2 linked regions of the Macaca mulatta genome follow. The protein of the gene in region 1 binds, or shares a complex with, the protein of each later gene. Links are inferred from orthologs where the notes say so. Each region holds a gene or a part of one and is shown on either strand. Other genes may lie near its edges.

Evidence for each region.
Region 2: the proteins of MLXIPL (region 1) and YWHAB are in contact, whole or in part, in a crystal structure (PDB 6YGJ), measured with the Homo sapiens proteins. The link is inferred for Macaca mulatta from reciprocal best matches to the Homo sapiens genes MLXIPL and YWHAB. Residues at the interface, in NP_116569.1 of Homo sapiens: Asp118, Ile120, Arg121, Asn124, Ala125, Trp127, Arg128, Ala129, Trp130, Tyr131, Ile132, Tyr134; in NP_003395.1 of Homo sapiens: Gly55, Arg58, Ser59, Trp61, Arg62, Ser65, Ser66, Gln69, Lys70, Arg129, Val178, Tyr181, Glu182, Asn185, Leu218, Gln221, Leu222, Asp225, Asn226, Leu229, Trp230.

The regions. Positions count from the first base shown.
Region 1 is NC_133408.1:51,104,751-51,119,743, reverse strand, and holds the start of MLXIPL (carbohydrate-responsive element-binding protein), read left to right. Parts: upstream 1-5,928; 5' UTR 5,929-5,956; coding exon 5,957-6,333; intron 6,334-14,624; coding exon 14,625-14,731; intron 14,732-14,993. UniProt on the Homo sapiens protein: Binds DNA as a heterodimer with MLX/TCFL4 and activates transcription. Binds to the canonical E box sequence 5'-CACGTG-3'. Plays a role in transcriptional activation of glycolytic target genes. Involved in glucose-responsive gene regulation.
Region 2 is NC_133415.1:97,729,444-97,744,446, forward strand, and holds the start of YWHAB (14-3-3 protein beta/alpha), read left to right. Parts: upstream 1-8,614; 5' UTR 8,615-8,692; exon of another isoform or gene 8,693-9,131; intron 9,132-9,495; exon of another isoform or gene 9,496-9,568; coding exon of another isoform or gene 9,569-9,613; intron 9,614-10,462; exon of another isoform or gene 10,463-10,557; intron 10,558-15,003. UniProt on the Homo sapiens protein: Adapter protein implicated in the regulation of a large spectrum of both general and specialized signaling pathways. Binds to a large number of partners, usually by recognition of a phosphoserine or phosphothreonine motif.

The sequences.
Region 1 (14,993 bases):
GGTGGGCTTTCCCAACGAGGAAGGACAGTCTGGGTGAAGAGTCCTGAGGACCAAGACCGGAAGGCAGGGAGGATGTAATGTCAGGTGGGATGGCTGGGGACAGCCAGGTATTCATACCACAGTTAAGACCTTGTCTTGCATCTCCATGGACCATGAACAAGACTTGTTTGTACAGAGGCTGTAAACTGCTGATTATAGTAACAGAGGCTAGGAGAAGCAGAAAGAGGGTGAGCCAGGTTACACGTACATGGCTGTGCTATCATCTGGGCAATGGTGCCCTGAACAGGAGGTGCATGCCTGTGGTCCCATTACAAGTGGCTCATACTTTCAATCCCAACACTTTGGGAGGCTGAAGTGGGAGGATCACTTTGGCCCAGGAGTTTGAGGCTGCAGTGAGCTATGATCGCGCCACTGCACTCCAGGCTGGGTGACAGAGCGAGACCCTGTCTCTAAACATAGGAGAAATCAGAATCTGTGGACGTCCTTGCATTTATTGGACACTCTGGTGTTTGGATGTTTTGCATTGTGCAGGCAGAGTTTGTCTTTTCAGCAGTTAGGTTTCTAGAGGTGTTATTTTATTTATTTATTTTTTGTTTTGTTTTGTTTTGTTTTTTGAGACAGAGTCTCGCTCTGTCTCCCAGGCTGGAGTGCAGTGGCGCGATCTTGGCTCACTGCAAGCTCCTCCTCCCGGGTTCACGCCATTCTCCTGCCTCAGCTTCCCAAGTAGCTGGGATTACAGGTGTGTGCCACCACGCCTGGCTAATTTTTTGTATTTTTAGTAGAGATGGGGTTTCACCGTGTTAGCCAGGATGGTCTCGATTTCCTGACGTTGTGATCTACCCGCCTCGGCCTCCCAAAGTGCTGGGATTACAGGCATGAGCCACCGCGCCTGCCTAGAGGCGTTCTTAAGCCCTGGAGGAGGGCAGAAATGAGATGCAGATGCCTGTTGAGGGGGAAATTCATGGCTGGGGAAGGAGGGATGTTGGGTGAAGGAGAGAATTCACTCACAATCCTCCCACCCACTCAGATCCAGCTCAGAGGAACATCTCTGAAACCACAGGAGACAATTCTGATGTTTTCAGAGCATGGGGAGAGTAAGATGGTGTGATCTGGAGACACAGCCAGCAGAGACTTGGAGCCAAGATTGCAAGATCCCCAACAAATCACTGAATTCAGGCCAGTCGCGGCGGCTCGCGCCTGTAGTCTCAGCACTTTGGGAGGCCGAGGTGGGAGGATCGCTTGAGCCCAGGTGCTCGAGACCAGCCTGGGCAATATAGTGAGACCTCATCTTTACAACAGCAAAAAGAAGAAAGAAAGAAAACACTGAGTTTGGCCTCCCCATTTTACAGGTAGTGAGACAGATCCCCAGTAAGACAGAGAGAGAGAGATTGGCCCAGGGGTATTCATGGAATTAGCAGCAGAGCAAGGATCAATTTGGATCTTCACCTGAGCCAGGGTGCCCGGAGCCAGGAGGCCCCAATCGAGAGGAGAGGGCCTCCAACCTATCCAACACCCCCCCTCCACAGCACCCACCCGCTCCTCTTAGCCTCATGCCCCTTTCTTCAAGCATCCGCCAAGTCTCTGGGTACCTGGGGTGGGGATTCAGAGATGTCAGGACACAGTCTTGCCTCAGTGGCCTGTTGGGGGTGAGGGAGGAGCCAGACAGGCACACAGGGATAAGCGATGATCCTGTCAGCCTGTGTACCAAGGGCCTCAAAAGACGGTTAACCGCCACCTGACAGCTGGCCACGGTGGCTCACGCCTATAATCCCAGCACTTTCGGAGGCTGAGGCAGGTGGATCACTTGAGGTCAGGAAATCGAGACCAGCCTGGCCAACATGGGGAAACCCCATCTCCACTAAAAATACAAAAATTAGTCGGGCGTGGTGGTCCAAGCCTGTAATCTCAGCTACTTGGGAGTCTGAGGCAAGAGAATCGCTTGAACCCAGGAGGCGGAGGTTGCTGTGAGCCGAGATCAAGCCACTTCACTCCAGCCTGGGTGACAGAGTGAGACTGGCTCAAAAACAAAGTGGGGGCCACTTGGAGATGGCTCTCTGAAGCAGCGCAGAGCCCCTCCAAAGGAGGGAGACTGGGGTGAGCATCAGAACCCCCTTTCTTTTTTTTTTTTTTTTGAGACGGAGTCTCGCTCTGTCGCCCAGGCTGGAGTTCAGTGGCCGGATCTCAGCTCACTGCAAGCTCTACCCCCCGGGTTTACGCCATTCTCCTGCCTCAGCCTCCCGAGTAGCTGGGACTACAGGCGCCCGCCACCTCGCCCGGCTAGTTTTTTGTATTTTTAGTAGAGACGGGGTTTCACCGTGTTAGCCAGGATGTTCTCGATCTCCTGACCTCGTGATCCTCCCGACTCGGCCTCCCAAAGTGCTGGGATTACAGGCTTGAGCCACCGCGCCCAGCCGCAGAACCCCCTTTCTTAACCTGGCAGGGATGGGCAAAGAGAATGCACATCCTACAGAGGGCAGCAGGGAGGAAGGAGCAGAACGGCTGGGGCTCCTGGGAATGTGATATGACCATTTGGCAGAGACAGAAGATACCCGGCCAAGGGAGGCGGGTGGAGGGGCTGGCCTGTGAGCAGCCTCGGATAATCACTTTCCTCCCACAGCCGGTGGCTTGGGCCCTCAGGGCACTGCCATTGTGATCCTGGGTGTTGTGTGATCCTCCCGTGGGCTGGAAGAAAAGTGCTATGTGTCAACCTTTTCCAAGGCTGCAACACGTGGGTGACCACCTCCTCCCCTCTGCCTAACATGACCACGCATAAGATACCTGTCGGAAAGCCAGCGGAGCTCAGCATCTGCCTGAAACTCTCTCTTGCCCCCACCCCGTAGGGACATCCTTGGGGAGAAGTCTGGAAATCTACTAGACTGGGCTTTACTGCTGCCCCTCAGAGATGCTTGGGCGTGTTTTTACTCTCCTGTGCCTCGGAACCCATCTTTGAGGCCGTTAAAGCCTCCAATGAGGTGTCCGGTGTGAATGCCTCAGTCTGGTTTCTGTCCTTAAGGTGAGAAAAGAGCCTTCAGAAGCAGAAACAGGCCATGTACAGTGGCTCACCCTTGTAATCCCAAAACTTTGGGAGGCTGAAGCAGGAGGATTACTTGAAGCCAAGAATTCGAGACCAGGTTGGGCAACAAATTTCATCTCTACAAAAAAAAGTTAGCCAGGTGTGCTGGCATGAGCCTGTAGTCCCAGCTACTGGGGAGGCTGAGGTGGGAGGATTGCTTTGGCCAAGGAGTTTGAGGCTGCAGTGAGCTATGACTGTGCCTCTGCACTCCAGCCTGGGTGACAGAGTGAGGCCCTGTCTCTAAAAATATATAAATAGGCCAGGCATGGTGGCGCATGCCTGTAATCCCAGCACTTTGAGAGTCCGAGGTGGGTGAATCACTTTAAGGTCAGGAGTTTGAGACCACCCTGGCCAGCATGGCGAAACCTCGTCTCTACTAAAAATACAAAAATTAGCTGGGCATTGGGAGGCCGAGGCAGGTGGATCAAGAGGTCAGGAGATTGAGACCATCCTGGCTAACACGGTGAAACCCTGTCTCTACTAAAAATGCAAAAAAATTAGCCAGGCGTGGTGGCGAGCTCCTGTAGTCCCAGCTACTCGGGAGGCTGAGGAAGGAGAATGGTGGGAACCCACGAGGTGCAGCTTGCTGTGAGCGGAGATGTGCCGCTGCATTCCAGCCTGGGTGACAGAACGAGACTCCATCTCAAAAGAAAAAAAAAAAAAATTAGCTGGGCGTGGTGGCGCGCACTTGTAATCCCAACTACTCAGGAGGCTGAGGCAGGAGAATCGCTTGAACCCGGGAGGCAGAGGTTGCAGTGAGCCGAGAACATGCCATTGCACTCCAGCCTGGGCGACAGAGCGAGCCTCCATCTCAAAATAAATAAATAAGTAAAATATATAAATAAATAAAAATACAAAGAAGCAGGAACAAAAGCTGGACTTCAGTGTCAGTGAGAGAAAGGGATCAGAGCTCCTGGGTAGATGCCAGCCTGGGGGATGTCCACCTTCCAGTGAGCCACACACCCCCACCAGTAACAGTCCCTTGAGGCTCCCCTTGGGCGTCTCTGTGCAGCTGAAGTAATGATCACAATTTTTAAAAAATATATATATTTTCTTAAGTATTTTATTTATTTATTTATTTATTTTTATTTTTATTTTTTTGAGACTGAGTCTCGCTCTGTAGCCCAGGCTGGAGTGCAGTGGCGGGATCTCGGCTCACTGCAAGATCCGCCTCCCGGGTTCACACCATTCTCCTGCCTCAGCCTCCCAAGTAGCTGGGATTACAGGCGCCCACCACCACGCCCCGCTAATTTTTTGTATTTTTAGTAAAGACGGGGTTTCACCGTGTTAGCCAGGATGGTCTCGATCTCCTGACCTCGTGATCCACCCACCTTGGCCTCCCAAAGTGCTGGGATTACAGACGTGAGCCACCGCACCCAGCCTATTTTATTTTTTGAAATAGGGTCTCACTCTGTCGCCCAGGCTAGAGTGCAGTAGGGTGCGATCTGCAACCTCCACCTCTCGGGCTCATGTGATTCTTCCACCAGTAGCTGGGATTACAAGCCAAGCACGAACCACCACATCCGGCTAATTTTTGTATTTTTTGCAGAGACGGGGTTTTGCCATGTTGGCTAGGCTGGTCTCGAACTCCTGGCCTCAAGTGATCCACCCACCTTGGCCTCCCAAAGTGCTGGGATTGCAGGTGAGAGCCACCGCGTCAGGCCACCATGTTAACTAGAGGTATTAACAACCTCCTTCGGGCCAGGCCCTTCAGGGGCGTTGCCTGGTGTTTACCACATCAGGCCCCTGAGAGGTGGGGGCTTCCAGCTGTATGGAGGACCCAGAGGAGCTAATATGGGGTCGGGCGGCGGAGGTGGAGGGCAGGAGTTAAGTGAGGGGGGATGGTGATCTCTGGCCTCACAAGAGGGTGCCCCTGAAAGCACAAACCCCAGGTCCTGAGGCGCTTTCAGGCTCAGTTGTGATAGGGGACCTTTTCATTGTTGAAACAGATTCTCTGTCATCCAGGCTGGAGTGCAGTGGCGCGATCTCCGCTCACTGCAGCCTCAACCTCTTGGTCTCAAGCGATCCTCCCACTTCAGCCTTCCGAGTAGCTGGGACTACAGGTGCATGCCACCATGCCTGCACCTGTTTTTTGCACCATAATTTTTGTATGTTTTGTAGAGACAGGGTTTTGCCATGTTGTCGAACTCCTGGGATCAAGGGATCCTCCCACCTTAGCCTCCCCAGTAGCTGGTATTACAGGCTCTCTCCACTATGCCCAGATAATTTTGGCATTTTTTTTGGTAGAGATAGGGGTCTTACCATATTGCTCAGGCTGGTCTCGAACTTCTTTTGTTGTTTTTTTTTTTTTTTGAGACAGAGTCTCGCTCTGTCGCCCAGGCAGCAAGGCAGTGACCGGATCGCAGCTCACTGCAAGCTCCGCCTCCCGGGTTCACGCCATTCTCCTGCCTCAGCCTCCCGAGTAGCTGGGACTACAGGCGCCCGCCACCTCGCCCGGCTAGTTTTTCGTATTTTCAGTAGAGACGGGTTTTCACCGTGTTAGCCAGGATGGTCTCGATCTCCTGACCTCGTGATCCGCCCGTCTCGGCCTCCCAAAGTGCTGGGATTACAGGCTTGAGCCACCGCGCCCGGCCTGGTCTCGAACTTCTGACCTCAAGCCATCCTCCCACTTTGGCCTCCTAAAGTGCTAGGATTACAGGCATGGGGCCCTGGCGCCCGGCCTGACCCTTCTTAAGATCCCTTTGGAGCAAACTAGGGGAGGCTCTGTTAGAATTCCAAGGAGAGACGGGAAGGGAGATGGGGCCGACCCGCCGGAGCTCTAGGGCACCGGGTTCTCACCTGGCGCAAGGACTATGCTAATACAAGACCCGCCCCGTCCCAGGCCCCTCCCATCCGAGCGGCCTATGGGGCGGGGGCTGGGCTATGTTAATGAGGCTGGGCTGGCCACGAGCTGTTCCCTGCGCTGCACGGAGCCAGCACCAGGCGGTGGCGGCGGCGGCGACAGCCATGGCCGGGGCGCTGGCAGGTCTGGCCGCGGGCTTGCAGGTCCCGCGGGTCGGTCCCAGCCCAGACTCGGACTCGGACACGGACTCGGAGGACCCGAGTCTCCGGCGCAGCGCGGGCGGCTTGCTCCGCTCTCAGGTCATCCACAGCGGTCACTTCATGGTGTCGTCGCCGCACAGCGACTCGCTGCCCCGGCGGCGCGACCAGGAGGGGTCCGTGGGGCCCTCCGACTTCGGGCCTCGCAGTATCGACCCCACACTCACACGCCTCTTCGAGTGCTTGAGCCTGGCCTACAGGTGAGGGTGGCTCGGGGCCCCGATGGCCTCGGCCTCCAGATGGGGATTGGGGGGTCTGGGGCAGGACTGCGCGCTGGGGCCCTCAATACCCCACCCGAACCCGGTCCTGCGGCTCCCGGAGGCTCTGGTCACGCCCTGAACATCCCCTTTCTCCCAGCCCCGGGGTCCTCCTATCGCCACCCAGCCCGCTGGCCCCCGACGGACCCGCGCTTTTCTGATTCCCATTCCTCCCCCATCCCCTCTTCCCCGAGGCGCAGACCGCCTGCGCCCCGCCTCTACCTGGACCGCTGGTCCCCTTTCTCTGGTCCCGGCCCCTCCGTCCCTCCAAAAATGCCAGGAGTCCCAGGTCCCTAGGCCTCCCGCGCCCATCCCCACTCTCCACTCTGGAGCCACTCCACCCGACCCCCTGCAGGCCTCGGCCTTCTCCCCAGCAGCCCCGGCCCAGGCCCGCCCTATTCCGGGACCCTGAGATACTCCCAGCTACCCTGATTGTCTCAGTTCATAACCAAAGTGGACTGAAACTGGCCCACTGTCTCGTCCAACTCCCCGCAATTGCTGAGACACCTCTTCTTGATCTGCTATGTCAAGGGTGGCGGGAGGAGCATGTCCCAGAAATGTCCAAGAGGCGCAGCTCGCTGAGGTTACGCCGGTGCCCGGGAGGCCTGGGTTCGCCTACCCGCGTCGCCACACTAGGCTGAGCGCCCGTCGCTGCCTGGGACCCCCGCTTAGCGCCTCAGAGAGCGCACAGGCCGCGCCCCGCTTCCGCTCCACGCCCCGCGTCCCAGAGGAGGGCGCGAACCCGAGGCCTGGCCCAGTGCCCTGGAGCAAAGTTCCCCGGAGCGGAGGGGCCAGTATAAATTATCAACCGAAAACCCGTAGGGGAGAAAGGGGGATCGGCCGGCCTTGATCTTTTCTCTGTGCAAATATTCCTCTTCCTCCGCGGCGCCTCCTCCCCTTCTGAGAACCGCTGGCTACGGATCGGCACCTGCCGCCCTGCGGGGGAGCGGGAGCTGGGGTGGGGACTGTCGGGGGAGTATTGCCTGCCCCCAACCGCGGCCGCCTAGCTGCGACCCCATTGGCTGGAGGCGGAGTAACCTTGGCCCACAAGCTCTGGCCCCGGGCCCAGGTCATGTTGCAACCCGATCGGCCAGGGCGCCGGACCCGTGTGGAAAGTTCAAATTCCCGTCCCTTCTCCCTCCCTCCCCAAATGTCACGCGACTGCCTGGGACAGGGCATCTGAGGTCCTGGTACACCGAATGCCGGCACTCCTCCTTCTGCGGGTCTCCCATTCCCCACCCACCCCCAACTTTGACTTCTCATTATATACTACACATCAGTCTACTTGGGGGGGGCCTCACTTCCAACCCCCACTCCTGACCATGTGTGACCAAAGAGGAGAGGTTCTGGGGAGCTGGCAAGGTAAGGGACAGAGCGCAGCCCAAAAAACTGCTCCCCTAGGAGGCTGACTCAAGGCTGATTTAACCCCAGTCAGGGATAGCTGGGGTAGATAAGTCTGTGTTTTCTTCCCAAATACCCAAATATTAATATATTAACAGTAAATCTCTCTGGCTGGGCACAGTGGCTCCTGCCTGTAAGCCCAGCACTTTAGGAGGCCAAGGTTCTCATCCAAGGATTTCTTGAGCCCAGGAGTTGGAGACCAGCCTGGGCAACATACTGAGAACCCGTCTCCACCAAAAAAAAAAAAAAAAAAAAAAAAAATTTTTTTTTTTTTTTTTTTTTTTTGAGAGGAGTCTTGCTCTTGTTGCCCAGGCTGGAATGCAGTGGTGCGATCTCAGCTCACTGCAACCTCTGCCTTCCGGGTTCAAGAGAATCTCCTGCCTCAGCCTCCTGAGTAGCTGGGATTACACGCGCCCACCACATCCAGCTAATTTTTTGCATTTTTAGTAGAGATTTCACCAAGTTGGCCAGGCTGGTCTCAAACTCCTGACCTCAGGTGATCCGCCTTCCTTGCCCTCCCAAAGTGCTGAGATTACAGGCGTGAGCCACCACGCCTGGCCAAAAAAATTTTTTTTGATCAGCCAGGTGTGATGGCGCATTCCTATTCCCAGCTACTGGGGAGGCTGAGGTGGGAGGATCACTTCAGCCCAGGAGGTTGAGGCTCCAGTGAGACATGATCGTGCCACTGCACTCCACTCATAGAGATAGAGTGAGACCTTGTCGGAAGGGAGGGAGGAAGGAAGGAAGGAAGGAAGGAAGGAGGGAAGGAAGGGAGGGAGGGAGGTGGAGGGAGGAAGGGAGATGGAGGAGGGAAGGAGATGGAGGGAGATGGAAGGAGATGGAGGGAGGGAGGAAGGAAGGAAAGGAGGGAGGGAGATAGAGGAGGGAGGGAGATGGAGGAGGGGGGAGATGGAGGAAGGGAGGGAGATGGAGGGAGGGAGGGAGGAAGGAAGGGAGGGAGGGAGATGGAAGGAGGGAGGGAGATAGAGGAGGGAGGAAGATGGAGGGAACGAGATGGAGGGAACGAAATGGAGGAAGGGAGGGAGATGGAGGGAGATGGAGGGAGATGGAGGGAGATGGAGGGAGATGGAGGGTTGGCTCAGTACCAGGAGAGCTTCTAGATTTCCGCATTTCGTAGAGGAAAAGCCCTAAGGCTTGAACTGGGACAGTGTTTTCATCTTCAAAGACCCCCAGTTTCCGGGGTTCCCTGGAGGGGAGCAGATTACAGAGATTGAGTGTCCCAGGGGACGGACTGTATGGGAAGAGACAGTAAGGCAGAGAGTTCAGAAGGTGGTGGGAAGAATGACCAGCTTGACCCAGGGACCCGCCTGAACCAGGGACCAGCCTGACCCAGAGACCAGCCTGCAGAGGCCTGGCAGGGTTTCACCCTCCACAGGGTAGCGTGGGCAGAGGGAGGATCGAGGAGGCCGTGTTCCGTGGCTCCATGGGTGGAAGCCCCAGGGAGGCAGTTTCTAGAAGCTTCAAGGAAGCACTTGTTCATGGTCAGAGCTGGCTAGCTTTAGGAAGAGGGGCCTCGAGGGTGCAGGGGAGCAAACAGGACCTGGTTAGGTGGCAGTCTAAAAGGAATTCCTGAAAGGTGGGCGGTGGACAGCTGAACCTGGAGTTTTCTCCACTCTCTCTCTGAGTCTGAGTTGTCTTCTCCTTCTTCTTGTTTATTTATTTATTTATTTTTGGAGACGGAGTCTCACTCTGTTGCCCAGGCTGGAGTGCAGTGGCATGATCTCAGCTCACCACAACCTCCGTCTCCTGAGTTCAAGCAGTTCTCATGCCTCAGCCTCCAGAGTAGATTACAGGAATGTGCCACCATCCCCAGCTAATTTTTTTATTTTCAGTAGAGACAAGGTTTCATCATGTTGGCCAGGCTGGTCTCGAACTCCTGACCTCAAGTGATCTGCCCACCTCGGCCTCCCAAAGTGCTGGGATTACAGGTATGAGCCATTGCGTCCTACCTTTTTCTTTCTTTCTTTTTTTTTTTTTCAAGACAGAGTCTCGCTCTGTCGCCCAGGCTGGAGTGCAGTGGTGCTATCGGAGCTCACTGCAACCTCCACCCCATGGGTTCAAGCAATTCTCTGCCTCAGCCTCCCGAGCAGCTGGGATTACAGGCGCCCGCCACCACGCCTGGCTAGTTTTGTTTGTTTGTTTATTTGTTTGTTTTTTGGTAGAGATGGGGTTTCACCATGTTGGCCAGGCTGGTCTTGAACTCCTGACCTTGTGATCCACCCATCTAGGCCTCCCAAAGTGCTGGGATTACAGGCATGAGCCACCGGGCCCAGCCCTTTTCTTCTTTTAATAGTCTTTTTTGCTGTTGTTGCTGTTTGTTTGTTGTTGAGACAGAGTTTCACTGTGACGCCCAGGCTGGAGTGCAGTGGCATGATCTCAGCTCACTGCAACCTCTGCCTCCCGGGTTCAGGTGGTTCTCCTGCCTCAGCCTTCCGAGTAGCTGGGATTATAGGCACGTGCCACCATGCCCGGCTAATTTTTGTATTTTTAGTAGAGACAGGGTTTCTCCATGTTGGCCAGGCTGGTCTTGAACTCCTCACCTCAGGTGATTCGCCCTCCTCGGCCTCCCAAAGTGCCACCGCACCTGCCCCTTTTAATAGTTTTAAATAGGCCGGGCGCGGTGGCTCACGCCTGTAATCCCAGCACTTTGGGAGGCCGAGGCGGGCGGATCACAAGGTCAGGAGATCGAGACCACGGTGAAACCCCGTCTCTACTAAAAATACAAAAAATTAGCCGGGCGCGGTTGTGGGCGCCTGTAGTCCCAGCTACTCGGGAGGCTGAGGCAGGAGAATGGCGTGAACCCGGGAGGCGGAGCTTGCAGTGAGCCGAGATCGCGCCACTGCATTCCAGCCTGGGCGACAGAGCGAGACTCCATCTCAAAAAAAAAAAAAAAAAAAAAAAAAAAAAAAAAGTTTTAAATAGAGATGAGGTCTCACTGTGTTGCCCAGCTGGTCCTGAACTCCTGGGTTCAAGCAATCCTCTCCCCTCAGCCTCCAAAAGTGCTGAGATTACAGACCTGAGCCACTGCTCCCCGTCATACTTTTCTATTGGTCATAAGAAGTTGTTTGTTTTTTTATGAGTCGGGTTCTCACTCTGTTGCCCAGGCTGGAGTGCAGTGGCGTGATTACAGCTCACTTCAACCTTGAACTCCTGGGCTCAAGAGATCTTCCCACTGTAGCCTCCTGAGTAGCTGGGACTAGAGGTGTGCACCACCATGCCTGGCTAACTTTTTATTTATTTATTTATTTATTTTTGAGATGGAGACTCACTCTGTTGCCCAGGTTGGAGTTCAATGGCACCATCTTGGCTCACTGCAACCTCCACCTCCTGGGTTCAAGCAATTCTTCTTGCCTCAGCCTCCCGAGTAGCTGGGATTACAACTGCCTGCCACCACTATGCCTGGCTGATTTTTTGTATTTTTAGTAGAGATGGAGTTTCACCACGTTGGCTAGGCTGATCTCGAACTCCTGACCTCAGGTGACCCACCTGCCTCGGCCTCCCAAAGTGCTGGGGGGATTATAGGCATGAGCCACTGCACCTGGCCCCAGCTAACTTTTTTTTTTTTTTTTTTTTGAGGCGGAGTCTCGCTCTGTAGCCCGGGCTGGAGTGCAGTGGCCGGATCTCAGCTCGCTGCAAGCTCCGCCTCCCAGGTTTACACCATTCTCCTGCCTCAGCCTCCCGAGTAGCTGGGACTACAGGCGCCCGCCACCTCGCCCGGCTAGTTTTTTGTATTTTTTTAGTAGAGACGGGGTTTCACGGTGTTAGCCAGGATGGTCTCGATCTCCTGACCTCGTGATCCACCCATCTCGGCCTCCCAAAGTGCTGGGATTACAGGCTTGAGCCACCGCGCCCGGCCACCCCAGCTAACTTTTAAACTGTAGAAACAGGCTCTCACTATGTTGCCCAGGCTGATCTCAAACTCCTGGCCTCCTACAGTCCTCCTGCCTCGGCCTTCCAAAGTGCTGGGATTACAGGTGTGAGCCATATCCAGCCAGTCGTAAAAAGTTCTTGAACCCTGCTTTAGGCTCTTGCTCCAGGCCAAGTCTCTCATAGCCCCAACTCCTTTTCTTCCTCCTGGGCTTGGATATTGTCACTGTCACATCTCCTCTAACCCTGCCTGGGCCATGAACATCATAACCTTAGCAAGGAAGGGGGAGGGAAGGCAGGCAGGTCGAGGGTGCAACACGGGGTGATCAGAATGGGCTGGGAGGTTGCTGGGATACTGACAAGGACCACAGACTCAGGAGTCCCCCACCAGGTGCCACAGAAGAAGCTGGCCCAGGAGGTAGCAGAGTCTCCCCCCACCCCCCACCCCCATGTCTTCCTACTAAACAGATGGTGTTTATCTAATTCCCAGAGGGAGGGGGCCAGCCAGTGGCCCAGGGAGCTGGGCTGTGTATCTTATTTGGGTAATGAGGCCTGTTGTCCCTGGTGGGGAGGGGGCAGTCCCCCACCCCCACCCCAAAGCAAACACAGGAGCTTGGAGACCAGGGAGGAGAGAGGGCCCAATGACCAATGCACTCAAGGGGAAAGAGGCTGCAGAGTCAGACTGGCTCCCACCCACGTTTCACCCCCAGAATGCAGGAAAAACCGCTGGAGGAAGCAGGCATGGTTTTCTGAAAGACTAAACCTTGGGAGCCAGGCGCGGTGGCTCACGCCTGTCATCCCAGCACTTTGGGAGGCCAAGGTGGGCGGGGCACTTGAGGTCAGGAGTTCGAAACCAACCAGGCCAACATGGTGAAACCCCGTCTCTACTAAAAATAGAAAAATGAGCTGGGCATCGTGGCATATGTCTATAATCCCAGCTACTCAGGAGGCTGAGGCATTAGAATCGCTTGAACCTGGGACATGGAGGTTGCAGTGAGCCAAGATCATGCCACGGCACTCCAGCCTGGGCGGCAGAATGAGGCTCCATCTCAAAAAAAAAAAAGGCTAAGACTTGGGGCCTCAGCCTTCTCATCTGAGCAAGGGAGAAAAAGGTGTGCTAGAGGGGACTGGTACACAGCCCTGGCTTGTGGATGGAGAGGAGAGAGGGAGGGAGAGACTGGCAGGGGGTCTAAGATCCTGAATGTCTTGACCTCCTGGGTCAGCTTCCTGGAGGCAGCAGACTTGGCCTGTGCCTAGCAGGACCCTCACCAGTGTAAACTCTTCCATCCAGTGGATTTTTTTTTCCTTCAAGACAGGATTTTGCTCTGTTGCCCAGGCTGGAGTGCAGTGGCGTGATCATAGCTCACTGTAGCCTCAAACTCCTGGGCTGAAGAGATCCTCCGACCTCTGCCTCCCTAGTAGCTAGGACTACAGGCGCATGCCGCCACCCCCGGCTAATTAAAAAAATTTTTTTTAGAGATGGGGTCTTGCTATGCTGCCCAGGCTAGTCTCAAACTCCTGGGCTCAAGCAATCCTCCCGCCTTGGCCTCCCGAAGTGGTGGGATTACAGCCGTGAGCTACCGCACCCAGCCCACCTTGTGGATTTGATGGACAGCTAAGGTTAGAATGAGGGTGCTCTGTCTCCACGGATACCATTCCTCAGTCCTGGCTGTCTTCCTTTGGGATCTGCTGGTTCATTGTCTTCTGCAGAGCCCTGAGAAGAGCACACGTTCTCGCTGAGTCCAGGTTGCCATCCTGGGAATCTGGGCATGGCAGACACCAAAAGGACCGTACGATGAAGGCAGTGACTGCCACTCTCTATAAAGAGACACCCTCGACCAGGCATGGTGGCTCACGTCTGTAATCCCAGCACTTTGGGAGGCCAAGGTGGGCAGATCACTTGAGGTCAGGAGTTTGAGACCAGCCTGGCCAACATGGTGAAACCCCGTCTTTACTAAAAATACCAAAAAAAATTAGCCAAACATGGCGGCACACACCTGTAATCCCAGCTACTCAGGAGGCTGAGGCACGAGAATTGTTTGAATCCGGGAGACGGAGGTGGCAGTGAGCTGAGATCCCACCACTGCACTCCAGCCTGGATGACAGACTGAGACTCCGTCCTAAAAACAAAACAAAACAAAACACAGAGGCTCCCTCTCTACCAGGCAAACCATGGCCATCCCCTTTGCCTCTCCTGCGCCTAAGGAGGCTTGAGTGACCTTGGACCTGCCCCTTTCCTCCCTGACTTTCAAGAAGTTCTTTTTTTTTTTTTTTTTTGAGACGGAATTTCACTCTTGTTGCCCAGGCTGGAGTGCGGTGGTGCAAACTTGGCTCACTGCAACCTCCGCCTCCCAGGCTCAAGCAATTATCCTGCCTCAGCCTCCTGAGTAGCTGGGATTACAGGTGTGCGCCACCACACCCAGCTAATTTTGTACTTTTAGTAGAGACAGGGTTTCACTATGTTAGACTAGGCTGGTCTCGAACTCCTGACCTCAGGCAATCCACCCGCCTTGGCCTCCCAAAGTTCTGGGATGACAGGCATGAGCCACCATGCCCAGCCCAGGAAGGTCATTTCTTATTCTCTTAAGAAATGGGCTTGAGCACTGTCCCCAGGCAGCCTCCAAGACACACCTGTGAGGCCACTGGACATCGCTGTTCCCAGGGCCGAGCTGATCCACAGGTTTCAGTGTGGCTTTTGTTCTGTAGTAGACTGACAAACAGGTCTCCCCAGGGAACACAGGGGCCACTGGTGGGAGTCTGGAAGGGGATTTTGAAGGTCTGACTCTCCAGGTAGGAATTTCAGGCAGGTTGGGTTGGGGGGGCCAGATTTGGAGGGTCCCCTCGAATGCCAACCATAGATGGATGCCAAGTGCATGGGGAACGTGGGGACCAGCCTCTGCGGCAGCACCGGATCTCCCTAACCTCACTCCTCTCCCCTTTGACAGTGGCAAGCTGGTGTCTCCCAAGTGGAAGAATTTCAAAGGCCTCAAGCTGCTCTGCAGGGACAAGATCCGCCTGAACAACGCCATCTGGAGGGCCTGGTATATCCAGTGTGAGTGGGCACCAGCAGCCTCCCCAGCCGGGAGGGACCGCCCCCTCCAACCCTCCTGCCAGACGGTTCTACATGGTGGCTGCCCAGGAAAACCCCCAGGGCCCTGAAGGCCAGCACTAGCAGAGTTCTGCCAACTTTTTTTTTTTTTTTTTTTTTTTCTGAGACATAGTCTTGCTCTGTTGCCCAAGTTGGAGTGCAGTGGTGCCATCTCGGCTCACCGCAACTTCCGCCTCCTGGGTTCAAGCCATTCTCCTGCCTCAGT
Region 2 (15,003 bases), on another chromosome or scaffold:
GTATAATCTATCACAACAACAGACAAAAGGGAAAAAAATCACGTGATCACATCAACAAATGCAGAACAAGCATCTGACAAAATCTAACACCCATTCATTATAAAAACTCTCAGCACTAGGAATAGAAAGAGAACTTTTTAAACTTCATCAATAATATCTACAAAAACCCTGCAACGAACAGCATTCTCAATGGTAAGAAATTACATGCTTTCCCCCAAGATCTAGAACAAGGCAAGCCTGTCCCTTTCCACCACTCCAATTCAATATTGTACAAAAGTCCTAGCTAATGTAATAAGATAAGAAAATAAAATCAAAGGTATACAGATTGAGAAGGAAGAAACAAAACTGTCTTTGTTCACGGACATAATTATTTATATGAAAAATCCCAAAAAGCTGGCAAAAACTCCTAGAACTAGTAAGAAATAATAGCAAGGTTGCAGGATAAAAGGTTATTATACAAAGTGAATTGCTTTCCTGCATACCAGCAATTAACTTGTGGGATCTGAAATTTAAAACACAATGCCATTTACATTAGCACAAAAATAAGTATAAATCTAACAAAATATGTACAAGTCTATATGAGCAAAACTATCAAACTCTGGCGGAAGAAACTAAAGAAAACCTAAATAAATGGATAGATATTCCATGTTCATAGATAAAATACTCAATAGTGTTAATATATCAGTTCTTCCCTATTTAATCTATAGATTCAACATATTCCCAATAAAAATCCCAACGAGGCCGGGCGCGGTGGCTCAAGCCTGTAATCCCAGCACTTTGGGAGGCCGAGACGGGCGGATCACGAGGTCAGGAGATCGAGACCATCCTGGCTAACATGGTGAAACCCCGTCTCTACTAAAAAAATACAAAAAAAAAAAAAACTAGCCGGGCGCGGTGGCGGGCGCCTGTAGTCCCAGCTACTCGGGAGGCTGAGGCAGGAGAATGGCGTCAACCCGGGAGGCAGAGCTTGCAGTGAGCTGAGATCCAGCCACTGCACTCCAGCCTGGGCGACAGAGCCAGACTCCGTCTCAAAAAAAAAAAAAAAAAAAAAATCCCAACGAGTAATTTTGTGGATGTTGACACATTCATTCTAAAATTTATATGGAAATGCAAAAGAACCAGAACAACCAACACAAAGATGAAGAACAACAAAGTTGGAGGACTAACACTACCTCACTTCAAGACTTACAACAAAACTATAGTAATCAAGTCAGTGTGGTCTTGGCAAAAGAATAGACACATAAATCAAATGAACAGAATAGAGAATTTAGAAATAGACCCACACAAATAGTGAACTGATCTTTAAAAAGGAACAAAAGCAATGCAATGGAGAAAGGATAGCCTTTTTAACAAATGGTGCTGGAACAACTGGACGTCTGCACACACAACAATGAATGTAGATACTTATAACTTTCACAAAATTTAACTCAAAAAGCAAAACTACAAAACTTCTAAAAGATAACATAGAAGAAAATTTAGGTGACCTTGGGTTTGGCCATGAGTTTTTAGATATGAGAAAGAAAAGACACTTTTTATCTGAAGAATGTGAGCCCCTTTATGAGGCCCAAAAAGGCATTGAAATGTGACAGCACTCATGTCTCCTCCCAGCTGGAGGTAAGTAATCATTTCAAAGATGCCTGTTAAATGAATTATAAACTGACTATTGCCATCCAGAGTTGGGAATTAACCTAAAACACCCCATGCTGAACACCATAATGTATACTCTGTAGTTCAAGAATGTATATAGCCAATCACTAATCAATGTTATCTCTGTAAACCAATGACAATTCCTTAAAAACAACTTTTGTAATCGTCCCCTCTCCCTTTGTTTTTGTTTTTTGTTTTTTGTTTTTTTTGGAGACGGACTCTTACTCTGTCGCCCAGGCTGGAGTACAGGGGCACGATCTCAGCTCACTGCAACCTCCACCTCCCAGGTTCAAGTGATTCTCCTGCCTCAGCCTCTCAAGGAGCTGGGATTACAGGTGCACACCACCACACATGGCTAATTTTTGTATTTTTAGTACAGATGGGGTTTCACCATGTTGGCCAGGCTGGTCTCGAACTCTTGACCTTAGGTGATCTGCCCTCCTCGGCCTCCCAAAGTGCTGGGATTATGGGCGTGAGCCACTGCACCTGGCCGCATCACCCCCTCTCCTAATTTGTTCTTTTTTCTTTAAAAACTTGAGCCTCTCTTTTGTTCTCTGGGGCACTTCCTAGTGTTTCCCTGGCTGCAGTCCTCAACTTTGGTCCAAATAAACTCTATATTAATTTTGCCTGAGTTTCTTTCTTTAGCTCAACAGATGTAACATAAAAAACATGATCCATGAAAGACAAATTGGTAAGTTAGACTTCATTAAAATTAGTGCAAAGTCACTGTTAACAGGATAAAAGACAAGCTACAGACAGGAAAAAAAAATCTTTGCAAAGCACATATCACATAAAGGACTAGTATGCAAAATATACAAAGAATTCTTAAAATTCAATGATAAAAAAGCAAACAATCCAATTTAAATAAGTGAAAAAATCTGAACATACACCTAACCAAGGAAAATATACAGGTGGTAAATAAGCACATGAAAAGATACTCAACATTGTATGTCATGAGGGAATTGCAAACTAGAACAATGAGATACCATTACACCCCTATTCAACTGGTTAAATTCAGAAAAACAAAAACACAAACAACAACAAAAAACCCTCACTATATCAGATGCTGGCATGAATATGGAGCAGCAGGAGCTGTTATTGTTGGTGGAAATACAAAATAGTACAGCCCCTTTGGAAAACAGTTTGGTAGTTTCTTTATTTTTCATTTATTTATTTATATATTTATTTATTTATTTGATAGAGTCTCATTCTGTCGCCCAGGCTGGAGTGCAGTGGCATGATCGCCTCAGACTGCCAAATAGCTGGGATTACAGGCACCTGCCACCACGCCTGGCTAATTTTTTTTTTTTTTTTTTTTTTTTTTTTTTTTAGTAGAGACAGGGTTTCACCATGTTGGCCAGGCTTGTCTTGAACTCCTAACCTCAGGTAATCCACCGATCTCAGCCTCCCGAAGTGCTGGGATTAGTGGCGCATTCTCGGCTCACTTCAATCTCTGCCTCCTGGGTTCAAGTGATTCTCTTGCCTCAGCCTCCCAAGTAGCTGGGACTACAGGCATGTGCCACCACGCCCAGCAGATTTTTGTATTTTTAGTAGAGATGGGGTTTCACCATGTTGGCCAGAATGTTCTCGATCTTTTGACCTGGTGATCCACCTGCCTCGGCCTCTCAAAGTGCTGGGATTACAGGCGTGAGCCACCGTGACCAGCAGCCTATTTTTATTTTTACTGTTTTTTTAGAGATGGGGTCTTGCTGTGTTGCCCAGGCTGGAGTACAGTGGCTATTCACAGGCACGATCCCACTACTGATCAGCACGGGAGTTTTGACCTGCTCCGTTTCCAACCTTGGCCAGTTTACCCCTTCTTAGGCAATCTGGTAGTCCCCTGCTCCCGGGAGGTCATCATATCGATGCTGAACTTAGTGCAGATGCCCAGGCAACATAGTGCACTGCAGCCCAGAACTCCTGGCCTCAAGTGATCCTTCTGCCTCAGCCTCCTAAGTAGCTGGGACTATAGGCATGCACCACCACACCCGGCCAGTTTACTAGTTTCTAACAAAGCTAAACGTCGTCTTAACATATAATCTAAGAGTCACACTCCTAGGTTGAAAACTTATGCCCACGCAAAAACCTGCACACAGATGTTTACTGCGGTTTTCTTCATAATTGTCAACAGCTGGATCCAGATATCTCTCAGTAGGTCTATCAGTTCCCTAAGCCTGCCATAACAAAGGGCCACAAACTGGGTGGCTTCAAACCACAAAAACGTCTTCTCTCACAGTTCTGGAGGCTAGAAGTCTAAAATCAGTGTGACAGCAGAGTCGTGCTCCCTTTGAGACTCTGAGTAGAATCCTTTCATGCCTCTTCCTGGCTTCTTGTGGTGCCCAGCAATCCTTAGTGTTCCCTGGCTTGTAGCTCATCACTCCAGTCTCCGCCTCCATTGTCATGTGTTGTTCCCCATGTGTGTCCTGTCTTCAGATGGCATTTTCCTCCTTCTTTAGGGCACCAGCCACATTGGATTACAGCCCACTTGAATGACCTCATTTTAATTGATTATACTGCAAAAGCCCTTTTCCAAATAAGGTCACATACACAGATACCAAGGGTGAAAGCTTCAACATATCTTTCTGGAGGATACAAGTCAATCCTTAAGAATAGGCTAATGGGACGGGCGTGGTGGCTCACGCCTGTAATCCCAGCACTTTGGGAGGCTGAGATGGATGGATCACCTGAGGTAAGGAGTTCAAGACCAGCCTGGCCAACATGGCAAAACCTCATCTCTACTAAAAATACAAAAATTAGCCAGGCATGGTGGCATGCACCTATAATCCCAGCTACTCGTTTGAACCTGGGAGACGGAGGTTGCAGTGAGCTGAGATCATGCCACTGCACTCCAGCCTGAGCAACAGAGTGAGACTGTCTGGAAAAAAAAAGAATAGGTTAATGGATAAACATACTGTGGCAGATTCATACCAGGGGATATTTTTGTTTGTTTGTTTTGTTTTTTTGTTTGTTTTTGAGATGGAGTCTCACTCTGTTGCCCAGGCTGGAGTGCAGTGGCGCAATCTCGGCTCACTGCAAGCTCCGCCTCCCAGGTTCACGCCATTCTCCTGCCTTAGCCTCCAGAGTAGTTGGGACTACAGGCACCCGCCACCACGCCCGGCTAATTTTTTGTAGTTTTAGTAGAGATGGGGTTTCACCGTGTTAGCCAGGATGGTCTCGATCTCCTGACCTCGTGATCCACCTGCCTCAGCCTCCCAAAGTGCTAGGATTATAGGCGTGAGCCACCGTGCCTGGCCACAAGGGAATATTTTTAAGCAATCGAAAGAAATAAGTTATCAAATCATAAAAAGTCATGAAGGAAACTTAAATCACATTGCTCAATAAAACAATCCAGTCAGAAAAGGCTACATATGGGCTGGGTGCAGTGGCTCACACTTTATTACCCAGCACTTTGGGAGGCCAGGGCAAGAGGATTGCTTGAGCCTGGGAGTTCAAGACCAGCCTGGGTAACATGGCAAAACCCCATTTCTATAAAAAATACAAAAATTAGCTGGGCATGGTGGCACATGCCTGTAGTCCCAGCTACTACGGAGGCTGAGGTGGGAGAATCACTTGAACCCAGGAGGTCGAGGCTGCAGTGAGCCGTGATTGCACTACTGCACTCCAGCCTAGGTGACAGAGTGAGACTCTGTCAAAAAAAAAAAAAAAAAAAGAAAGAAGGAAGGAAGGAAGGAAGGAAGGAAGGAAGGAAGGAAGGAAGGAAGGAAGGAAAACGTATTGTATGATGCAACTATATGACTTTCTAGAAAAGGTAAAACTATAGTGTAAAAGGTCTGTGGTTGCCAAAGGTTGAGGTGAGGGGAGGGAGTGAGGGATGAAGAGTTGAAGAAAAGATTTTTAGGACAGTAAAACTTTTATTTATATACATGACATTACGCATGTGTCGAAACCTACAGAACTATGTACAACATAAAGAATAAACCCCAATGTAAACTATGGACTTTAGTTAATAATGATGTATTAATACTGGCTCATCAATTGCAACAAATGTACCACTCTAATACAAAATGTTAATAATAGGGTAAATTGTGTGGAGGAGGGAGAGGGAATGTTTGAACTCTAATATCTGGTCAATTTTTCTGTAAACCAAAAACTGTCCTAAAAAATTAAGTCTATTGGCCAGGCACAGTGGCTCACACATGTAATCCCAGCACTTTGGGAGGCCATGGCAGGAGGATCACTTGAGGCCAGGAGTTTGAGCCCAGCCTGGGCAACATAAATGAGACCCCGTCTCTACAAACACATTTTTAAAAATTAAGTCTATAATTTGAAAAAAGATTCATTTCAGTATATAAGGCTCAAGTATCATTTCTTTCAGGAAATCTTTCCCGCTCTCCCACCATAGTCCCAAGATGGGTTCGGTGCTCTTCTCCCAAGCTGCCATAATACCCTGCACATATTTTTATTTCTATGGTTGCACCTACCACATTGTATTTTAACATTTCTCTGTATTGCTGTCAATTCACAGCTGTGGTTTGCTGACCGTTGGCCTAGAATGCAGAGATGGTGAAATAATCTAATCCATGCAACCCTTAAACAGGCACCTAGGAATGCCTGACAAAGGGCACTTCTGTTCCCTCAATGCACTGTTGATGTCATTTGTGGTACAATCATTATTAGCCCTCTGGTCTGTTAGGCTATTTTCTGGATGATAGCATAAGGCACAGTTATGTGACATTAAAGGTTACTTAGCCTGAGTAGTCTTTAGATTACTGGCCTTGGGTCTGCCAAAGACCATCCTCATGGGGAAGTTTTTGCACTAGGAAACCTCTCCAGGATTCAAATCCAATGGTTTTGACTCAAATCATGCTGTTAACATCACACAACACATTCTCAATCTTGTTCAACTTAAAAGGTGGTACAGTACAGGGGTCACTGGCACACACGCCTACATGACAGATAACATAAGTGACGAAAACAGACTCAGGTCGAGAAGGGTTCCTGACACTTGGGAAAGTCCATACCCAGTCTAGAGTAGGCAGCCACTCCTTGGCTTCAGCCAATTGTTGCCACACAGAAATGTGGACACGGTGTTACCAGACAAGGTGTAGAGGCAGATTTCTGTTCACACAGAAACTTTTCAGTTTAAAAAAGTGTTGGCAACTAAGTCAAACTGCTTAGAAATACTGGAGATGGCATATTGGGAAGGTAAGGAATCATCCAATTGAATTGTGGTATTTACGATGGGGGAGAAATAGCAGCTAAAGGATAAGGGCAGCTTTTGGAGAACGCTGATTGTCTCAAGGAACTTACATATTGTCATCTAGGTCTGAGTGCACACTAAATAATTTAAGCAAGAACAGGACACGATTAGAATGGTATTTTTAAAAAGATCACTTGGCAGTTGACGGGCGAGGCTGAGAGTAAAACAGTGAATTAGAAGTCTGTCATTTAGCTAAGTAAGGGTAAAGGCAAGACGGCAAAGGCCTATTTACTTGGTTCTTTCTCCTACCCGACTGCAAACTCCAAGACAGCAGGGCCCCATCTGCCTTGTTCATTGCTGTGTCTCCAGCACTAAGCAAAAAGTCTGTTCCACATTTGTTGAAAGAATAAATGAACAGGAGAGAGGGAAGGCGAGAGGCATTTTGAAGGACTGAGTTTAAAAATCAACTACCTTGAAGCCGGGCAAGGTGGCTCATGCCTGTAACTGTAATCCCAGCACTTCGAGAGGCTGAGGCGGGTGGATCACCTGAGGTCAGGAGTTTGAGACCAGCCTTGCCAATACGGCGAAGCCCCGTGTCTACTAAAAATACAAAAATGAACCGGGAGTGGTGGCATGCCCCTGTTATCCCAGCAACTCAGGAGGCTGAGGCAGGAGAATTGCTTGAACCTGGGAGGCACAGACTGCAGTGAGCCAAGACTGTGACACTACCTGGGCGACAGAGAGAGACTCTGTCTCAAAAACAGAAAACAAAACAAAACAAAATCAACTACCTTGAGAGGAGTAGAATGTCGGTAATTGTGAGAGCAGTCATGAGGGGAGGGGAGCCATGGAAGCCTGTTTCCTTCCCTGAACTTCCTCAAGGAGGGGGCATCTTAAAGACGGAATCATGTACACAGATTTTTGTGGGGTTTTTTTGGAGACAGGGTCTCACTCTGTCGCCCAGGTTGGAGTGCAGTGTCATGACCATAGCTCACTGCAGCCTACAACTCCTGGCCTCAAGCAATCCTCTCACCTCAGCTTCCAAAAGTGCTGAGACTATAGGCGCGAGCCACCGCGCTCGGCCCTACACAGGTTTTTGAAAAAGACCTTTGTGCGTTGGATTCCTGGCACTTCAAGTGGCCTCTTCAGTCTACCAAAGAAGGAAAAAGTAAGTACTCCGAAGGATTGAAAGGAGGATTAAGGGAACATTGAGGGATGAGCAATTTCTGTTCTTCCCTAGCTCCACTATTCCCAAAGCACACAGCAAGAGGACTGACATCGGCTTCCGACACCGTGAGGATTACTTTCTGGGTGGAGGGGGGACTGCTAAACCTCGAGTCTCCGTACCTGGCCCTGGCGCGTTTCCAGTCTGAGCAGAAAAGGAAACCCCCACCCACACCTCACTCCTAGTCCTCCGGGTGCCTTTACAGCCCGTATCTTGACCACCCCCAGCTCCGCCCTCTCTCCTCCCACCTCCTTTTCCCGCTCCCCCGCCCCATTTCCTTCTTCTCCGCCCACCTCCTCCTGGGTCCCTCCCCCGGCCATGCGCCCTGCCCCGGCCGCGGCAACCCTGCCCTTCGTTCTTCTTCCTCCTCCCTTCCGTCAGCGCCCCTCCCGTGGGGCCGCGGCAACCCCGTGCCTCGCTTGCCCAATGAGAACACGGCGTGGGGCGGGGCGCGGCCAGGACCGGAGCGGAAGTGGCGACCGGAGCGGAAGTGGAGCTGCCGCCACTGCCGCCGCCGATTCCGGAGCCGGGGTAGTCGCCGCTGCTGCAGCCACTGCAGGCACCGCTTCCGCTGCCTGAGGAGTGGGCTTGGGAAGGAAGAGGTCATCTCGCTTGGAGCTTTGCTCGGAAGGGTCTTTGTTCCCTGCAGCCCTCCCACGGTGAGTGCGGCGCGGGGTCCGACCGGGGCCCCCGGGGGCCCAAATTCGAAGCCCCTCTTTGGCAGCTGCGACGACGGCGGCCCAGCGGGTGGGCCCCGGGGGATAGCGGTGCGCTGCCTCTTCCGCTTCGCGCGGCCGCCGGCGGCAAGGCCAGGCCTCGCAGCGGCCCCTCCCTGTTTCCGGGGCCGGGCCCTGTACCTCTTGGAGAGGCCCGGGCCTCCCTCGCCGCCTAAGGTCCTGCCGGCCGGGCGGGGTGCAACTCTGTGCTGCACCGTGAGGGACAGCGGAGCCGAGGGTCCCGGACTCTCCCTCACTATCTGATTCGGTCCCTCACGCGACCCCTCCCTGCGTCTTGGTCGGCAAGAACCGTCCTCTTCAGCCCAGTCACCTCTGCTCCGTGCTTTCCGGTTTCCAGAAATTAAAATTTAATCAAACGCGGGTGAGTTTTCTAGCCCCAGTCCCCCTGTTTGACTCCTCCTGGATGAGTAAGGGGTTTAACCTTGGGAGACAGCAGTGGGGGAACCCCCTCCCATTTTGCAGTAAAACCATTTCATCATCCTTAACTGGTTATGGAGCCTGGCAGGACCCAAGATTCCCTAGGAAGGGAATTGGGTTTGAATCAAGAAAATGTGTTTGTTGGAGCCGGTTACTGAGTCAGGCCGGATCCCCAGGAAAAAATATCGGGATGAGAATCGGAATATTTTCCCACAGTATTTACCGTCATTTAATGCCAAATTCTTTTGTGTCTTTACCCCAAATTCCCCCTATTGTGTGTTAGCACGTTTTTCGGTCTGAAATTTGCCCGGTGGCTTCCTGGTCGGGGGGTGGGGAGCGGAGGGAAGAAGAGGTGGGAAGGTGAGTGCATCTTTGCCGCAAATGGAGAACTCCCATATAATGAGGTTTCCAGAGGTGGCAGCCTTGGTAAGCAATTTGCCAGCCTTTCTGTGAAATGCATGTCTCTTGTCGTTGCCTTCATTGCATTTCTCTTTGGTAAGGCTAGATAGCATCAGGTCCTGATTTTGCTTACCCTGTGTGGGAGATGGAATTTGGCAAGATGATGCTATGAACATAAAATCAGCCTGCCACGGAAGCCAAAACAGAAAGGTGAAGCACTTATAAGAATATGAAAATTGTCTGCATTTCTCATTCTGTCAGTTCATATGAAGCCAGACACAGATGCAATTTATGGAGCTGGACGCTGCAGCTTTTGCATTTTCATGTTGGAAATTTATATAAGTATTTGTTCTTGGTGAATTTCTTCTTGACTGCTTCCAGGGTACCCTATTTCTTACTTAGGGATATCTCATTTGTTTGAGCCCTCATTTTTCTTGGATTCCTGTCCTTGGCAACACGAAGTGTATGAGTGTACAACCTGTCAATCTTATTGGACCTAAGTTAGAAATTTAAGTGTGGCTTTCAAAATGGAAGGCAAATAATCCTGTAGCAACTGCAGAATTATTTTCCTAGCCTGCCCCTCCAATGAGATAAGAAACCATTCACCTATCTTGCAGATGAAGTCTTTATGAGAAATGAGGTGATTTGGCCTAGACTCTACACCTAGTTTTTTTCAAATTGAATATCCTCATTCATCAGTAGCAAATATGGATTGCCAGCCCCTGGAGTATGACTCCTACCCTATAATCTTTTGTACATTTCCCGTCTTGCAGTGCTTGCTATATTGAAGCCATTTTAGAATTGGAGCACTATAGATCAGGGAGGCAGCCTGTATAAAACCAGGCTGAGCAAATTCCCACGATGCTGGTTCTCTAGGCAGAGTCTCCAGAGATTTGGGCCTCTACAAAAAGTGCATTTTGCCCATTTGGCTGTGGATAGAGAAGCAGAAAGAGCACTGGACTTGGAGTCAGGTAAATTTGGTTGAAATCTTGCCTGCAATATTTTCTAGCTTTCTGAATCTTCAGCATGTTAGTCTGTGGTTCTTAGTTTTCTTATCTCCAGGGTTATCATTAAGCCTTTTTTATAAACTGTAAATTGTTAAATATAAGCTTTTGGTTTTTTAATTAGAGTTCACTATTAATGGCTTTTTCTCTCCAGTTAACATCTGATGACACTAAACCCTGCTTTGTACACAAGTTGCTTTCAAAAAATGGTATATTATTATGGGACTTTATTTTGCATGTAGGCAAATCTAGTCTTTCTGAATCATTTTCTCATCTATATAGCGCAAATGGTAATGCAGCTTTGGATAATTTTTGTTGTGACAAGCTCAATGAAAATAAGCATCTGGGATATAGTTGGGGTTCAATAGATGTTTAACCATCTGCATGAATATACACGTGTATAGATTAGACATAGCGTATGTGCTATTCATGGACATCTATATAGAATCCATCCATTTGTGATTTATCTGATGAGGTGGTATCAATTAGTCTATAATAATAATTACCACTTACAGTACTTACTGTGTGCTAAGCTTTCTTTTAAGCACTTTAAGCATATTAGCTCAGTCTTCATAACAACCAATGAAAGGTAAGACTATTAGCCCCATTTTACAGATGAGGAAACTAAGGCACTGAGAAGAATAATTTTCCCGAGGTCTCACACACAGCACAAGGTAAGTGCCAGAACCAGGAATGAAACTAGATGATCTGGTTGTAAGGAATGATATTATAGATTTCTACGTGTGGTAGAGACAGCACATGTATATGTTTTGTGTGAACACCATTTAGACCTTAATTTTTCTTCACACCAATCCTAATAAACGTTTGAATGGGAATACTAGCTATTTTTGAAGATAGATACAGGACGATTTATTGTGGAGCATATACCCATTCTGGCCTGTAGGGATGATATTGTTAGCATGCATCAGGAAGCAAGCTTGTGAACAATCCAGTTTTTCTAGTACTTGCTTCATACTAGGGAGAAAGTCATCAGTTACTTTGGCATAGAATGTTAGGTTCTTCATCTAAGAGAATTTGATTATGACCATTAATTTTTGTTTATCATACTACTTTATCAGTAGATGTTCAGATTTTTCTTATTTTTGTTGGCAAGGAGGAAATGAGGAAATATATCTACGTAAATAGAGAAAAACTTCTAAATTAAAACATCCTGTTGTGCTACCTGCTCTTTCAGTGCCAACAAACTGAGTTTTCCTTTAAATGCTGGTACCTTAGAGAATGAACTAAAATTTCCTTGTAAAGGTACTTTTAAGTTCCTTGTTTCTACATTTTTCTAGGGAAAGATGACAATTCACTAGTTTAAGGGGCAAGAAATTATGGTTATATAATAGCAACCTTTAAGCTTTAGAATCCTTTTGATCTCTATGTGAATATGATCTTAGCAGTCATCTGTATGTCATGATGGAGAAACTAACGAGCTGGATTCTGAGGGAATTTTTCTGAGGGGAATACTTGAGGAAACAGACTAAAAGTGCTTTCTGTGTCATGATAAGTGTGCTGAAGGCCAATCATATTACTGCTTTCTCTACTAAAAGATTTTCTAATAGAGGTATGGTTATATGTATCTAATACTCATAATGAGATGTAAATGATCAATGGCCTCAAGTCATTCCTAGCAGATTGTAGGTTAGTTGACTTCTTTTTTTTTTTTTAATTCTGGCCAGTTCTTTATTATCTAAGTTTTTCCCTTACTGGTTATTTTATTGTTTTCCCTAAGAGAACCAACAGGAAGTTATTTCCAAATGGCCTTGATCAGGACAAGAAGATTGAAGGCTACAATAAAGTAGATATGAGTCCTATTATTATTATTTGCCCTCAGCTAAGAGCTTTCCTTTAAAATTTGACATTTTGATGAGTCTTTGGCGTGTTTTATGCTGTTTTTAACTCCTTGATTTTGTTTTTGTTTTTAAAGGTAGATATGTTAGCTTAATAGGCCAGTTTTAAAATTTCACTGTAACAACTTTGTATAGTTCTTTTAAAAATTGGCAATTCCCTTTTCCTTAAATGAGTTTTGGAGATCATAATTAATCTTTAGGATATAGGGTTACATAAAGGCAAGAACATTAATTTTAAAATTAATGTTGGTTTAGATCCCAGACCTGCCATATATAGCTGTGTGACCCTGAATGAGTTAACTCTTTGCGTCTATAAAAGGGGACGATGTCACCTGCCTCATAGGATACTTAGGATCAAATGCGTTTCTAGGAATCCCTGAGTGCTTTGCAGGCCATAAATGATGGATGGATATTTTTATTATTTACTAAACGAGTTAGCTGGTTTGGGTTTTTGTATAGTGAACTTTTTATATAGCGAACTGATTGGACTTCTGAATGGAGGAGATGAACAGAAAGTAATCCAAAGGCCTGTTGAAAGTCAGTTTGAATTGGCTGGGCTCAGTGGCTCATGCCTGTAATCCCAGCACTTTGGGAGGCCGAGGCAGGCGGATCACGAGGTCAGGAGATCAAGACCATCCTGGCTAACAAAAAATTAGCCGGGCCTGGTGGCAGGCGCCTGTAGTCCCAGCTACTTGGGAGGCTGAGGCAGGGGAATGGTGTGAACCTGGGAGATGAAGCTTGCAGTGAGCCGAGATCGCGCCACTGCCCTCCAGCCTGGGCAACAGAGCGAGACTCCATCTCAGGAAAAAAAAAAAAGTCAGTGTGAATCTATAAATACAATGATTGGTAGCTGAAAAGTATTAGTCAAAATGTATAGTGTTGCCTCCTGATTTAGAGCTGGCTGGCTGTTTTCAAAAAGTAATCTAAGACTATAAAAACAGTCTATATTTTAAAGGTCAGATGTGCACTACCTTCCTCTGTCCACATAGGAGATAATTGCTTTTTCACTTTTTAAGAATGCATCAGGTGATCAAGTAGTCACTCAGTGTGCTAGGCCTTGTGCTCCACATTGGGGGTCCAAAGATACAAGTCTGGATTCCTACCTTAAGCTCACAATCCAGTGTGGGAACCAGCAGAGACACTTGCATTGCAGTAAACTGTGATAAGGGCCATTTTAGAAATAGGCATAGGGAAATTGTTGTGTGCCTTTCTTTTAAAAGTCTTTCAGAAGCAGAGTACGTGTAAAATAAATGAGGTACATGGTAAGTTTCCCTTCACTGGCTGACCATTTGTTTTTAAGTTTTGTGTGGAATGTACTGTGGTTGCCATTTATTCGAGTGCTTAATGTTTAGCATCATAAACAGGTTTACTCCTTACAGGAACCCTAGTGAGAAGATTTGCCTATCTTTTTTTTTGCAGAGTCTCGCTCTGTTGCCCAGGCTGGAGTGCAGTGGCATGATCTCAGCTCACTGCAGCCTCTGTCTTCAGGCTGCCTCAGTCTCCCAAGTAGCTGGGATTACAGGCGCCCACCACTATACCCATCTAATTTTTTAATATTTTTAGTGAGACGGGGTTTCACCATGTTGGCCAGGCTGATCTTGAACTCCTGACCTCAAGTGATTGCCCTCCTCGGCCTCCTAAAGTGCTAGGATTACAGGCATGAGCCACCACGCCCAGCCGAGATTTGCCTGTATTATGGATGAGAAAACAGATTCACAGAGGTCACATAGCCTATGGACTTGGTGTGCGGTACTGGTAACTCAGACTGATTGGCTTCGATATGTCAGTGGGCCCCAAACTGTAGAAATCTATTCATGAGGTCAACCAATTGGACTGTCTTTATGGATCAGAATTAACATAGTGTCTTTTGGTTTGATTACTTAAAGTCAAGAAGTCAATTTATTGTCATATCTACCATTAAGTCACATGTGTAACCTTGCGCCTGTTACTTAACACCCTCAGTAAGTTTAATCATGGCTAATTGGACATAATTAGCAGTGAAATTCAACAACTGATATGAAAGAGGGGAAGGGATTTTGAAATAATAGAAATGCAGTTTCTCTCCAAATTCAGTGTTCACTGGACATAGTGCTAAGGACTTTGTATTACAGATATGCTGTGTTTTGTTTCCTAACAAAGAACCTGCAAATGTTTGAATGGAATTAAATTTATTACAGGACTCTAAATTTTATGTGTAGAATGGCACACAGACATTTTTATAGTGGGTGTTTTTTAGTGAGTAGTTTTCTCTGAGAGCCAGGAGTGCTTAACTTTTTCTGGGTAACACCCACTAACCACCTGGTCCCACTGACTTTCTCAGTCCCTCCTGCAGTAGCTTGGCATCTGATTTTTCTTCAGCAGAGTGACTCCAGAACTAAAACTTCTACTTTACAGTGCTGTGGATGCTCTATCTAGAATGGTACATCTGTGAATGCTGTTCAGAATATGTGATCAGTTCCTTACCCCATTGAAACATTTGAGCCTAGATTTTTCAGATTCTCCTGTCAGTTTTCTTCCTTGTTCTCATTTCTTTATCTGCTTTGGCCTTTGATTTTTA